Linked DNA regions of Ovis aries. The protein of the gene in region 2 binds, or shares a complex with, the protein of the main gene of each other region. Links are inferred from orthologs where the notes say so. Each region holds a gene or a part of one and is shown on either strand. Other genes may lie near its edges.

Evidence for each region. Proteins that work in one complex are often made in the same cells at the same time.
Region 1: SMARCD3 (region 2) and DPF3 share a complex: the UniProt entries of both Homo sapiens proteins name them as parts of the BAF complex. The link is inferred for Ovis aries from reciprocal best matches to the Homo sapiens genes SMARCD3 and DPF3.
Region 3: SMARCD3 (region 2) and PHF10 share a complex: the UniProt entries of both Homo sapiens proteins name them as parts of the neural progenitors-specific chromatin remodeling complex. The link is inferred for Ovis aries from reciprocal best matches to the Homo sapiens genes SMARCD3 and PHF10.

The regions. Positions count from the first base shown.
Region 1 is NC_056060.1:82,481,298-82,486,020, forward strand, and holds the start of DPF3 (zinc finger protein DPF3), read right to left. Parts: upstream 3,370-4,723; 5' UTR 1-3,369. UniProt on the Homo sapiens protein: Belongs to the neuron-specific chromatin remodeling complex (nBAF complex).
Region 2 is NC_056057.1:115,437,663-115,442,646, forward strand, and holds the start of SMARCD3 (SWI/SNF-related matrix-associated actin-dependent regulator of chromatin subfamily D member 3), read right to left. Parts: upstream 3,281-4,984; 5' UTR 3,151-3,280; coding exon 3,073-3,150; intron 173-3,072; coding exon 1-172. UniProt on the Homo sapiens protein: Involved in transcriptional activation and repression of select genes by chromatin remodeling (alteration of DNA-nucleosome topology).
Region 3 is NC_056061.1:91,185,322-91,190,232, forward strand, and holds the start of PHF10 (PHD finger protein 10), read right to left. Parts: upstream 3,370-4,911; 5' UTR 3,342-3,369; coding exon 3,255-3,341; intron 279-3,254; coding exon 172-278; intron 1-171. UniProt on the Homo sapiens protein: Involved in transcription activity regulation by chromatin remodeling. Belongs to the neural progenitors-specific chromatin remodeling complex (npBAF complex) and is required for the proliferation of neural progenitors.

The DNA of each region.
Region 1 (4,723 bases), on a different chromosome or scaffold from region 2:
GAGATCTGACCCTCACCACCATGCTGCCCACATCTACTCATGTACAAAGAATTAATTCTTGCCACTGACCCCTAACGCCAACATCACATCCTCCTTGCTTACTAGCAGATTTAAACCCCAGCCCCACCTTCTCCCCTTCTCTCTCCCTGGAGTCTTCTTGGTAGAAGGAGCCAGAGACTGCTGGATGACCAGAGCCCAAGTTCCAGGAGAATGCTCCCTCTGCCCGCCAGCTTCTGTTTCCTCTGATTGAGGATGGACTCAGTATGGGGTTGACAATGGAAAATGAAACGAAGGCTTCCCTTGAGCTCCTATTCTCACCTATTTCAAACCCGGAAGATGGGAAAACCCCACTGAGATTCCAGGGCTATTTACACACAGCTGGATGAGTGAAGCTTTGCATTTCCTGAGAAACAATGGTTAGACAGGATGTGGAATGCCAGGATCTTTTCATTAATTTTGGTTTTAATATAATAAAGTGATGTTTGATACTTGCGATATTGTTGACTCTCTGAGAAGCGCCCCCCTCCCTCCCCCCAGGTTAGCTACGGGGCAGGGGTGGGGGGCACTTGGCAGCTCTAGTAACACCTCCCATTTGTACTTTACACTTTCTGAAGTGTTTTCACATCCATTGTTTCATTTGGGCCCTTCAGGGGGTGGTAAGCAGGGCTTAGCGCAGGGAAGGGAGGCCAAATGAGATGCATGCCCTTCTCCCCTTATGAAAAGATAGGTCAGATTTACTACCTCCTGACCTTCAAGCTGTCCTGTCATCCCAGGTGTTTCCAGCAGGAACACCTGCTGCCTGATGAGACCTCCACTGCCTGGGAAACCTTCGCTCCAGCCCCACCAGGTGACAACTAGTGCTGCAGCCTCTGGGGCCTCCCCATATCCAGACCCTGACCCCAAGGGAGTCCCTGCCCTCAACGGGTTGGGGGTGGGGGGGTGGTGACAAGATGAAGGCAATCCTCTGGCTGGGGATAAAAGAAGTGAGTCTCTGAGTTCCTGGGGCATTTATCCTCCACCCCCAAAATAGTGGTAGTCCTAAAGTGGGAGGCAGGTAAAGAGGTTGAATTCTATGATGCCATGAGTATTTTTTTTAAGTTTAGAAGAAAGGAGTTGCCTATACTATCTAGAAATGTACTCCATGAATCTTAGTGAGTCTAAAAATGAAGGGGGGGTCTAGGCATATACCCCAAAGAACTGAGAGCAGGGATTCAAACAGCTACTTACACACCCATGTTCATAGCAGTACTATTCACAATCGCCACAAGGTGGAAACAACCCCAGGACCCATCCCTGGATGCATGGATAAGCAAAATAAGGCATATATATACAGTGGACTATTACTCAGCCATAAAAAGGAAGGAAGTCCTGACACATGCTGTAACACAGATGAGCATTAAGAACACTATACTAAGTGCAATAAGCCAGTCACGAAAGGACAGATATTGTATGATTCCACTCATATGAGGTGCTTAGAACAGGCAAATTCATACAGACAGAAAGTACAATGGTGGTTACCACACTGGGATGGGGTGGGAGGAGGATGTCCTCATTAAAACAGAGGATGTTATTGTTTAATGGATATAGAGTGTGTTTAGGATGACTTTTTAAATTCTGGAAATGAATACAGAATATTCTGGTAGTTATACAACACTATGAATGTACTTAATGCCAGTGAACTGAACACTTTAAAAAAGGCTAAAATGGTATGTCTACATGTCATACATGCTAAATATACATGTTATGTATTGATACATCTTACCACAAGTACAAAAAAATTTAAGGGACTGCCTCTGTAGGCTGGAGGTCAAGGAGACCATTTTGTTTTTTCTTTCATTTTGCCTAATTCTCACAATTCAGGCTTCTGTGAATGTTCTGATGGTTTTAACAACCCCCTCTTCCTCCTTTAGACATGTAGAAAATTGCCAAGGGAGCTAGCTGTCAACCAAAGGAAAGCCTGATAATAATGCCTCCAGAGGAATCTGGCATGTTCTGGAGGCATATCACTGAATGAGAGGCAGTGAATTCCACTTTAGACACTGCTAATACTCACCTGCGTAAGGCCAGACTCTGTGTCTACTGAACACCTCCATTTCCTCAGCAGCATCACGGGGTGCAACAGAGGAAGCTCACTGAGACATCAGTACAGGCCCACCCACTGCAGTTCACTGAATGGTAGGGCATTTGCAACTGCCCAAATGGAAATGAAGTAAGCATTTATTTCCATGTTAACTGGGATGGGTGCCATGTTAGAAGAACAGTAGATTGAAGGAGACTGTAGATAAATGAAATCCAGAGAAGAAAATCTTTTGCTCGGTTCCCTTTCTTCCACCATACATTTACACAAAACAGGAAGAAAAAGAGAGATGTTCTCAATAATTCTAGTCTTTTGCACAACCAAAAACATAATCTGAGTGCTTGTAAACAGAAAAAAATAGGCCAATTAATCTTCTCATTTCTCTTTCCCGTCTTCATCCCCTGGTTGGAGTGTTAATGAGGAGAAAAGTGTTCAAAAGGGAGCATCAGAAGAAAAGACCACGTTCTCAGTGGGCCACCACCTGGCCCTCAGCCTTGGGCGCTGAGAAGAGAGAGATCAGAGCCCAGTGGCAACAGAAGGTGGCAAGACAGGAACCAGAGAAGATGAAACTACAGGAGAGCCTACCAGTCTTAACTCCCTTTTAGAGCCACACTTAAAAAATGAGGAGGAATTCAAACACTGGTCCCTAACTGTCCTCCTCATCCTTCCTAATCCACCATAGTCAAGAGGCCCCAGTTTTTTACTGGAAAGGAATTTGGCAATCAAGGTGCATCACCCTCACCTTTAAGACAAGGAATATGTGGCTCAGAGAAGTTCTGGGTCTAAGGTCTCATAGCTGGTGAGCAGTAGGGCTGAAAACTGAGCTCAAATCTCCGGGATCCTCTCCCTGAAGCTTTTACTTCTGAAGCTACAAAAGCATAGTCACTGGTGAGAAAGTATAAGAGGGATGGAGTTTGACATAAGGACATAGGGATGACTGGTGAAAGTTTGAGAACTGAAAAACCTTTTCTGGTGGAGCTTCCAGTTGAAGTTAATACCACAGCAGATTTTTGAAGTGAATATTCAACAATGAGAAAAACTCACTCATTTCATAGCAACCTAAGATGACAGCAAGCTCTGGACTCGAGGAGGGAGGAGAGGGTGCAAAGGGGGATTAGACACGTATCATCATTGTTCCTTGGACTCAGAACTAAGTCCTGGAGGTGAAGGTCTCAACGTGGGCTATTTGAACCCTATTATTAGGAGCTCCTGCCCCTCCCTGCTTTCAAACACAGCCCCCTAAATCTTAGCCTGCTTTCCTTGTAACCCCCCACCTACTACTACTATTCACAAACACACAACCTAGACATTTCCAGCATAGGTTGCTCCTCTTCTCCCCTCCCCTGACCCAAACACCTCCTAGCCACTGCTTTTAAAACTCTGATGCAAATCACAGGCTTCAAAAACCTTCCTTCAGTGACAGTTTTATGATGCTAGCTCCATTCATCCATATGGGTTGACAGACTGTGAAACACTAGTAACCGGACCAATAAGAAAAACAGATTACAAAAACACCACAACACCTCATCTCTCCCCAGTTGCTCACACAACTAAAGAAAACTTTGGAACTTGCAATAGATCATAACATCAGTCTCTCTTGCTGTTAAACAATCATCTTCTCAGAGTTCCAGACCACACAGTAGTTTTATCCACTTACCTATCCCCTCCGTATCCCCTCTCCCCAGGCCACTTCTTTATCTTTCCTTGTTAAATACCTACATGTTTAAAGATTATTTAATGCTAGGGTCATGCTTACATAGGCCCCTGCTGGAAAACCATGGCTGGGCAAAAACTGTTTCAGTGGTTGTGGCATTTCAGGGGCTTGCCACATTGGGCTACATTTGTCTTCTAGTGACTTTCAGAACACTCAGAAACCACAAAAGTTACTTTGCAGAGGTTGGGATAATAGACAGGCCTGAATTCTGATGCTTTTCATGACCCACACCCAGCACCACTACAATCAGGATGGCTGTACTTTCAAAACTGAAACATTAGCCTCAGTTTCTTTTCCTTTTCTGGTGCAAGCTCAAAACAAAGCTTGGTTGACCATGGCATTTTATTTTCTGCACTGATCTGAGCAGATGGCTCTGGAACAGCTTTAGACATTATGGTGTTTCTCAGATGTACCTAAATTTCAGCCACCTGCATGGTTCCAAAAAGACAAAGGAGGATGAGAAGTCTCCAATTAAGTTGCCTCTGAATTCCAGGCCACTTTCTAGAACTAAGCAACTCCCATTCAACTGGAGACCTCTGAATGTCTCCCAGGTGGTCTGCAACCGCAGCAGTTCTCTGTGGCGATGCCTCCATTTGGGTTCTGGCAGAAATTAATAACCTTTATGGGTATCTCATCAAAACCAGACATGCTTCCCACTGAAAAATAATGTGTGCTAATGAAGTTTAGAGAATTTAAGGCTTCCCCCCGCCCTCACCCCAGTGGCAACCAGAAGCAGATGGAGAAGGTGGTTCTTAGGCATCTGTTGGCTTAAAATGTCTGAGGGTCCTTTTTCATAAGGGGCTAAAATAATGTCCATAAAAAGCTGAAAGCTCACAAATCCCAACCCCAGTTTTCCCCATTTAGTACCTACCCAAATCCCCCACCCCAACAGAAAGAGCCAGAAGCAGATTAGAACCAGGAATGTGTCCCCT
Region 2 (4,984 bases):
GGCTCTGGGCCTGGCTCTGGCCGGGCGGGGGCGCTGCTCGCTTGCGGGCGGGCTCCATGCCCGCGGGGGCCAGGCCGGGTCGCACGGCGGGGCTGCCCATGTACGGGGAGCCCGGGGGGCCCATGGGCGCCCCCTGGTGGGGCATCCGGGCTCCAGACGGCATCCCGGGGCGCTGGGGAGGGGGGTCGGGGGGGCGTGAAGCAGACACAGGCGCCCGGCGGTCAGAACCAGGGCTCCGGGCTCCAGGCGCGCGGAGCTACGCCTCCCCCCGAACCCCGAGCCCCCCGGCCCGTGACCCTGCTGCCGACGGCGCGATGCCGATGGGGCTGGGAGGGGTGGGGAGGGGCGGGGGCGCCGGAACCGCGCGGCTTTGGCGGAGGGGGGGGGGGGGGGGGGGGGTGGTGGTGGCTTGCGTCTCGCTGCAGGAAGCTAACTGAAGCCAGGCAACTAACTGCACAGGGCATCGCCAGCCTCGGATTTGCGGAAGGTGCCGCGAAGATGAATATTAATGGCGCCTTTCAACCTTTTCAAAGGATGCTCCTATCCACACGCTCCTCTGCAAGACAGACTGAGGGCCTTCTATCCCCACTTGACGGATGAGGCAACCGCGGCTCAAGGAGAGAGGCAACCTAGCCAAGGTCATGCAAGGCCCTTTCCTGAGGGGCCCGGGGTTTGTGCCCTCTCTGCTGCTTTCGTTTAGTTCAGGGCTGGCTCTCTTGCTCCGGACTTCTGCCGTCTGCCTTCCCGTTTGCCTGCTTCCCAGTCCATTTCCAGGGGGTCCTGCCTTCCCTGCCTTCCCTGCCTTCAACCCACTTTCCTCTCTGGGGCCCTGCTTTTGCCCCTCCGTCCCAATCCCTGCCCCCTTGCTCTGATTCCCAGCCTCTACCGTCAGGGGCTTGGCTGAATTAGCCCACCTGCATAATTTACTCTCAAGGTGAAGGCTTGGAGGTAGGGCTAGAAGCAGCTTGAGGGGCTGAGGTCAGACCTCACCAGGATTCTCCCATTGAGGGGAGGGGGGCTATGAGGCTTGACTGGTGATGGGTGGTCCAGAGGGCTTGGGTAGGTCAAAAGGATGGACATTTTCTCTTATATCTATCTCTCCCTTCCTGTCTGCCTGAATCACCAGAGATGGCCCCATCCTACAGACTACAACTACTCCCCACCCTACCCCAGTGAGGTCAGAAGTCTGGGTTCCCAGGGGGCACGGGGAGGCAGGTGAGGCAGGTGTGCGCCCTTGCTGCTACCCGGGTGCTCAACTGGGATACAGATGACAACCCAGTGCATCGAGTGAAGTGTTCCACAGACTCGTAAAACCTCACTTGTCCCATTCCAGAAGAGAGGCTGGGGAGGGCCCAAGGGGCTGTCAAGCGGAGGGTGGCCAGGATGTGGACGGGGGCCAGGAGAGCAGGAAGGAGATCAGGGAGCCACGGTCACAGACCCTGTGCCCCTGTTATACTATCTGAGCACCACCCACTCCACCCCAGGGGTGCAGCTGCTCCCAGAACAGGGAAGCGCCCTGCCCCTGAGCCTAGTGAATCTCCTCGCACTGCCCCCCTCCCCCGGGTCCCTCCTGCCCGCGCCGTGTCTAACCCTAACCCCCAGCCAACCAGCTGTCTCTGCCTGTCACAGCCTCAGCAGTGAGACCTGCCTGTCCATGTGTCTGCCTCCCCCACCCCACCTGACCCTGTCACTCACACCTCCAGGGTGGTGGCCCATAATGGAGCCCAGGCCCGCCACTCCCTGCCAGCACAGACAGGGCGCTGGGAGTGGGGCTCAGGCCACCCAAGAACTGAAGCAGTGAGTTGACTTAAAAAAAAATCCACATGTATACACTCTCTCACTCCTAGATGGGCCTTTTATTGGGACACCCCAGGCAGCAAGATCAGGGCTGGTCATGAGGCTAACCAACATGGGGACCCCTTGGAAGTTAGCCTAGGGACCCATGGGCCTGGAGAACAGGCTGCTTTGGGAAAGCCCCTTTCCTCATCAGCTGCTCTCCCATTTAATGAGGCTGGTGGTACTCACTGATCTGCTAAGGAGGCCCCAAGAGGGAGGCCTCCAGAGCCCCTAGAAGGCTGTGCTGGCCAGCGGGGATGGGTGACCTGCCCAAAGGGCCAACATTTTAGGGGCTCTGGCCTCTCTTACTGAGAACGTGTCTTCCTTGGGGTCACAACCAAATTTGGCCATAGTAAACCCGACTGCTTCCTTTCTGCCCGGCTTCAGCACCAGTGGCCGTCCCAAGTCCTGGAGCCTCTGCCTCTCCTATGCCACAGCCCTTCCAACCCGTCCCCACCCCCTCAGGCTCCCTGGGCTCACTCAGGCTCCCAGTGGGCCTTCTAAACCTGCCCCTCTGGTCTCCAGGCCTCCCGTCCCTGACTCCAGCTCTTCCTTCACACCTTTGAGGTGTTAAGGACATCAGCTTCTGGTGGTGGAGGCTGCCAAAGGATCCTCAGACCCCTTAACCTGGGGTCTGCCCCTAGAGAGGGCCTCTCTCTGGCCCTGATTGGCAGAGGCCAGGGGCAGAGCCCCGGAGCCCTCAGCCCAGGATGCAAAGGTGGTTCAGCCCCAGAGCTTCCCACTCACAGCGCCGCCAGGGTCACCTGCTCCTTGCTCCCGAGACACTGTCCCAGCTGATGAACAAGCAGCCCAGCGCAGCGATGCCAAGTCCCCCCACCCCCCACTCCCAGGGCAGGGGTCGCACCTGGGCTCCACCAGGGAAAGAAGGGAAGACAACCCATCGGGTTGTCCCCACAGGGGACCCACCCACCCACTTTGGGGGAGACCGTCCCCAAGTTCTACCCCCAAGCCCCTGACAGGAACCCATGCAAACGCCTGCCTTCCCCGCCCCGGGGCACCCATCCCCGGCCAAGCCGCCTGACGACGTGTTCGGGCGCCCCCAGGGCGCGCCGGCACGGGGCTGGGGCCGGGCCCGCTGGGCCGCGGCGCTCCCGCTAGAGGCGTGGGGTGGGGTGTGGGGGGAGCGGGAGCCCCCTCCCGGCCCCTCCCGACCTTCCCTCCATTCAGCCCGAGCCAGCTCGCTCGCCCTCCCCCGCTAACTTTTCCCCCACTCACCACCCCATGGACCAGAAACTCAAAAAGTTTGCTTTTCGTGGCTTTGCGCGCCCCTCCGGCAACTTCGTCCGCGGCCATCGGGGTGGGCTCAGCGGCGCCTCTCACTCTCTCTCTCTCTCTCTTGCTCTTTCTTTCCCTTTTCTGCCTTTTTTTTTTTTTTTTCCTCCAACTCTCCCCTCTGAGTCCTGCTGGGCTCTCTCACACTTCTACTCGAGCGGAGTGGGGAGGGGGCCCCTTCAGGGCTGCCCTGACGGCCCACGGCCCACGCCGCCGCCGCCGCCGCCGCCCGCCAGCCGCCGCGGCTGCCGCATTCCTGCACTGATAAGACAGAAATAGTCCGGCGGCCCGGGGTCCGCCTGTTGACTCGGCGGGGACGGAGAAGCCTGCCTTTCCCAAGCTTCGCCGGGCCCAAACAGCGCAGATAAGCGGCGAGGCTCGCCGGCCAGCGCGGCTCCGGGCCGCTGGGCAGCGGCGCCGCCTGCCCGAGGCCGCCCGAGGGCCGCGGGGAGGCGGCGGCAGCGGCGGCGGCGCGGGGAGGGGACGCGAGGGGAGGCGGCCGGGGGGCTCGCCGGCCACCCGGCCTCTCTCGCCGCAAATAGTTTTTCGCTTAGGGAATTCGCCGGCAGGGAACAGGCCGGGAACAGGCCGTTCCAACTTTGCCCCCAAGTGGCTCCTGCCGCATTTCTGAGGCCCTTTTCCCCAGAGACCTGGCAGGCCAAGTAGGGAAACATTTCGCTGGGAAGGAATCCGGGGTGGGTGGAGGGGGTGGTGGTGGCGGGGGGCGGGAGTCGAGCCCGGAGGAGGCCTTTCTCCGGCACCGGGCGGCCGTGGTGGGTGTGCCCCGGAGGCGGTGTGCCCTGCAGTCCATAGATGTGTGCGCCCTTGTCTCACCGCTGAGTGTGTCTGCACCCTGGTGTGGGCACGGCCGGCGGCCGTGGGTGTGGATGTTTACGTGCGTGCACAGATAAATGCCTCCTCTGTGTGCCTCCCTCCACCGCAGCCTCCGGTACGCGCGCGCGCGCGGGCGGGCGCGGGTGCGTGTGTGGCTGGACACGGTCTGTGTCTCCCCGCTCGGGGTGTCTATTTCGGGCTATGTGAGTCTTTGTCTCTCTGTGACAAAGTCGAGGCAGTAGGGGAAATTTCGGAGAGAGGGAGGTGGGCCAGGCTCGTGAGAACGGGAAGGGAAGCGTGGGGGCAGGCAAGGAACTGGGGTGGACGGATGGGTGGCGAGGCGGAGGCCAGCGCGACCTGACGGCTTTGGAATGGGCTGGGGGTGGGGGCGGGGGACCCGCAGGAGCTGGGGCGCTGGGTATGGTAGGGCCAATCTCTGGACCCCAAAGTAAGCAGGGGTAGGGGTGGGGCCGTGAGGGAGCCCCAGAAAGGGTGGTGTGGAGGGAGCTGGGGTGAAGGAGGGACAGGAAACAGGAGGGGCGAACCCTGCGAGTCCCCAGGCTGGGAGCACTGGCCCCGCCCACGCCCCAGAGGCCACACCCTTCTCCCCGCCTCCGGGAGGAAGCGCCCCAGGGGCTTTGAGACCAGACGGGTCAAGTTTATGCCTCCCGGGGCTGCACTGTCCGTACCCAGGTGAGGGCAGGACAGGGCCCTGGGGAATTTGTTGGAAATTTTTATTCCGGGTTAGATCCTTAAGACCCAGCCTGACCCTCAACCCTTTAGAAAGCCATCAGAAGTCGGGACCAAGAACCCAGGGAGCGGCTCTGCCGAGGGAGTCTTTTTTTGCTTGCAGCCTGATTTCCTTGGCCCCCTGTGCTTCTGGCTGTCACTGTCCATTTCAGTGCCCACAGCCAATCCCCTGAAAGACTAGAGAAGGCATGTGGTCCAGGCAGCTCCTCCTTTACCTTACCAGAGACCTAGAGAGCCCCCTCCTACCACACCTCTACCCAGGCTTCCCCCA
Region 3 (4,911 bases), on a different chromosome or scaffold from region 2:
AATTGCACTAAGCAGCAGAAAGCAACTTTGGTGTTACTTTTTAAAACACAATGAAAACATTCTACAACCCTTACTGATTGCCTTTGCCAGGGCTGGGGGATGGGGAGGAGAGAGCTAACACCGAGAAAAAACACATGGCACAGAAAGCATTAAACAATAAAATGGCAATACCCAAGGTCCTGGCTGGAAGTGTCGCAGCTCCTGGAGCTGTCTCCAGAGCCCATTCGCCTCCTTTTGGACGGCTGGGTCCCATCATTTGAATTATCTTCATTGTCATCCTATACATTCAAAAGATGCAAAAAATAACAGGACAAAAAACAGTAAATAAGGGGAGATTACGTAATCCTCCCAAACTTGCTAAAAGGCTCAACTTAAAGGCTTCCTAAAGATTATACAAATGATAACTTCCTATTATAATTAACCAGGGACAAGAATTTGGCCTTGGCAAGACCTGGAAAAAACCAAAAACTAATCTCCAATCCAAATCAAAGTAGTAAATTTTCAATTGTCTTGTAGGTTTAAATCTACTTTTCCTTTCTTACCAAGAGGTTAAAGTGCTTCTGCTTTGAAGAAACACACCAAACTGCTACAGCACTCTGAGATTAAAATGAACACTCCTGCTCTAGCTAGGACGAAAACGTGTGGGATCAGTTACTGTTTAACTCAACTCAGAGCTGGCTTATTCTCCTTGGCTACTTCGGACACTTATATCCCTGTGAACAGGACACAAAGGAACACGAACAGACGACCAATCGTCATCTTTCTTATATTTGCAAAGATTCAGCAAAAATATACCAGAATAAGAGTCATCGACCAATGCAACACACACTACCTCCCCAAAAGAAGACGTTTAAAAAGTTTTAAAGTGACATTTTCCATTGTGCGGCTTTATCAAGGCTGTAAGTTAGACCATTTACATTAAGGAAATGAATGATGGGTCCAGTATCAGGAAATTGAATGCGCTGTTGTCGCCCCTCAGGCAAAAGCGGGTAAATCTGTGTTTATCAGACTCTTTCGTAACCCCATAGACTATAGTCCCCCAGGTTCCTCGGTCCCTGGGATTTCCCAGGCAAGAATCCTGGAATGGGTCCCGTCTCCTGCCTTGGCAGCCCGGTTCTCTACCACTGAGCCACCTGCGAAGCCCGACCACACATCAGCCAAGGCTTAAACTAATTAAAGATTAAAAACAAAAAAAATTCATGGTATTCTAGCCTCCTGCTGCTGCTACTGCTAAGGAGCTTCAGTCATGTCCGACTCTGTGCGACCCCATAGACGGCAGCCCACTAGGATCCTCTGTCCCTGGGATTCTCCAGGCAAGAACACTGGAGTGGGTTGCCATTTCCTTCTCTAATGCATCAAAGTGAAAAGTGAAAGTGAAGTCGATCAGTGGTGCCCAATTCCTATCGACCCCATGGACTGCAGCCCACCAGGCTCCTCTGTCCATGGGATTCTCCAGGCAAGAGTACTGGAGTGGGGTGCCACTGCCTTCTCCAGTCTAGCCTCCTAAGACAACACAAGTTTGTTAAATATCATGAATCCAAGAATACAGAGGTAGTGAGTATGTTGGGTCAGGCACATCAAAGCTGGACCGCCTGGAATCTTACTGGCCACTGACTGCCCCTCACCAGCTGCGTGGTTATCCTCCTTATCTGTGAGAACAGTACTGCCTATTACTTGGCCAGTGTAGGGATTAGAGTTAATACGTGAAATAATTAGAGCAAGGTCTTGCAAACAGTTAAGTGCCCAGGAGAACTTGACTGCACTGATGATCAAGTCTCAAAAGGCTCCCTGTTAGGAATTTACTCAGATTCTTTACCAAATAGCAAAAACCGTGGAATATTCTCCTTTTCAGTCCTTAGAAAATAAGTATTCAGTTGAAAAGTTCTGTATACTCCTATGAAGATAAGCAACCAGGTAGGAGATGGAGAACAGCCTAAATCTACTTTCTCCAAAAACTGACATTTAACAGTGTCTCCCAACTGAAACATTTCATAGTCAACAAGCATTCAAGTATCATTTCTCTTCTATTTCACTTGCTTTTGAGCACTTTAAGGATTTTTATGTCCATTTGTTTAAATACCTTTCCCTTAGCTAAAAAAATTGTATACACTTAAAAAGTGTTAATTAAAAATGGAAGTCCTCAAAAACGCTGAAAGCACAATTTCACATGCAGTGCCTGAATCTGCTATCGTGAATTCTAGGCAAACGTGTTAGTCCATACAGTGAACATCAGAGAGGGGTAACAGCAACGTATTTCCTAACGTATGATGGAATACGATTAAAAGAATTCGCCTGCAACCTGGCTGTTGACAGAGGAGTCCGGGTTTTAAGGCTTCCCACCTCTGAGGTCAGCAACGTGTGTCTCAGAGTGCTGGGTGGCTCTCACCTTGGGACTGAACCCATTTCTGAAGGTCAGCGGACAGGACTGCGAGCAAACTCGGGGAGCGGGTGAAGGAGCGGGAAGCCTGCGCGCCGCAGTCGTGGGGTCGCAAAGGGTCCCGCACGACCGAGCGAGCGAGGGCAGCGCCGCCACGGCGGCAGGGCCGGGCGCGGGGCGAGCCCCCCGGGCGGGCCTGGGCTCCGGCGGCGCCGCCCTCGGGCCCGGCCTGGGCTCCGGAAGCCCGGCCCAGCGGGGCCCCGGCGCGCCGCCCGCGAGGAGGGCCGGGCGGCCCCGCAGGCGCCCCGCACCCGGGCGGCCCCGTCGCCGTCCAGCGCCAGCCTTCCGGTCTCAACTCGAGCGCGGGCGTGTAGGTCGCTCTGTCACAAGCGGGTGGGCTGGCCGAGCACAGCCGCGCTGCCTGAACGCTCGCCCGGACTCTCCCCGCGCCGCCGACCTCCACGCACCGAGGCCGCCCCGCTCCCCTGGAAGCGCGCCCACGGCGGGCCGAGCGCGGCCTAGAGCGCGGGGCGGCTCTCCGCGGCTCCGGCGCCGCCCGCGCAGCCCCCGCCGGCTCGCCCCGTCCCCTCCCCGCGTCCCGGCTCCAGCCAGCGGCGCTCCGCGGGGCGCGCGGGGGCCCAGGCCCGCGGCGGGACGGCCCGCGGCGCCGGCGCCAACTTTCACTTCTGGCGAGAGCGCGCTGCCCGGGCGGACGCGCCCCGGGCGCCTGCGGGCGGAAACCGCCGAGAACTCTCGGGCCCGAGGCCCAGCGGAGCCCGCGGCCGCGCCCGGCCCCGCCGCCCCTCGGGCCTCCCCACGGCCGCCCCCCGGGGGCCCCCCCGGCCCAGCCCCGGCCCAGCCCCGGCCCGCGGCTCACCTTCGGGGACTGCGCTCCGGGGGAGGCCGGGTCGCTGTCGCACGGCCGCGGAGACAGCGCCGTCCCGGGGCCGCCCGCCGCCGCCATCAGCCCGAGCGCCCCGCGCCGCCGCCGCCGCCGCCGCCGCCGCCTCGTCCCGGCCGCCGCCGCCGCCGCCGCCGCCGCCACCGCCGCGCGGGCCGCCCGCCGCCCGGGCCCCGCCCCCTCCGCCCGCCCGCCGCCCGGGGGCCGGCCCCTGCCTCCGCGCGCCCCGCGGCCCGCCAGCGCCGCCGCCACCGCCATGGCCGCCGCCAGCGCGCCGCCCGCCGCCGCCGGGCCCGCCGCCCGCCGCCCGCCGCCCGCCGGGCCCGCCGCCGTGCGCGCCCGCGGGGCCCTCCGCGCCCTCGGCCGCCGCCGCCCGCCGCGCTCGCCGCCGCCGCCGCCCCCCGGCCGCCGCCCTCGGCCGCACGCAGCCCCGGCCCGCCGCCACCCCGCCTCCCGGCCGCCGCCGCCGCCGCCGCCGCCGCAGCAGCCCGGCGCGCTCCGCGGCCCCACCTCCCGCCGCTCCCCCCGGCCCCCAGCCCCGCCCCGGCCCGCCGCCCAGGGCGCGCTCGCCGCCGCCGCCGCCCCCTCCCCGCCGCCCCCGGCCCGGCCCCTCGCACGTCAGCCCTCTCCTCCCACCGCGCCGCGCCCGCGCTCCCCGCCTCTCCCCTGCGCCGCCAGCCCGGGGGGCGCCGCCCCGCCCCTCGCTCCCCGGCGTCCGCGCCCGCGTCCCCGCCGCCCCCACCCCTCCATCCCAGGTGTCCCTCCGCCTCCGGGGTCCGCGCCCGCGTGCCCTGTCCCCTCCTGGGGGGCCCCGCCCCTCCCCCTCCGCCTCCCCCTCCATCCCAGGTGCCCCTCCCCGCGCCCTCCCTCCCCGGTGTCCGCGCCCCCGTCCCCTCTCTCCCTCCTGGGGGTCCCCGCCCCTCCCCCTCCATCCTGAGGGGCCCCTCCCCCTCCCCCTCCATCCCAGGTGTCCCTCCCTCCCCGGTGTCCGCGCCCGCGTGCCCTGTCCCCTCCTGGGGGTCCCCCCTCCCCCTCCATCCTGAGGGGCCCCTCCCCCTCCCCCTCCATCCCAGGTGCCCCTCCCCGCCCCCTCCCTCCCCGGTGTCCGCGCCCCCGTCCCCTCTCTCCCTCCTGGGGGTCCCCCCTCCCCCTCCATCCTGAGGGGCCCCTCCCCCTCCCCCTCCATCCCAGGTGCCCCTCCCCGCCCCCTCCCTCCCCGATGTCCGCGCCCGCGTGCCCGCTCTCCCTCCTGGGGGGCCCCGCCCCTCCCCCTCCCTCCTGGGGTCCCCGCCCCGGCACCCGCGCCCGCGTGCCCTGACCCGGCGGTCCTCGCCGCCCTTCCCTCCCACCTCCTTCCCAAGGGGCCCGCCCCCTCGCCCTCCCTGCAGGGTCCCTCCCCCTCTCCCCTCCGCCGCCTCTCCCTCCCGGGGTCCTCGGCGCCCCGCCCCCTCCTCCACCTTCCCGGGGGTCTCCCCGGCACCCTCTCCCTACCCTGGGGGCTGCGTCGCGGGGGCCTCTGAGGGCCCCGGCTCGTTTCCTCGCGTCCCCGGTTCCCGGTCGCTGCCTGCCGTCCCCCTTTGTTCTCTGCTCGCGGCCTCGATCTCTCCGGTGCTCCTGAACCACCTGCCAGGGA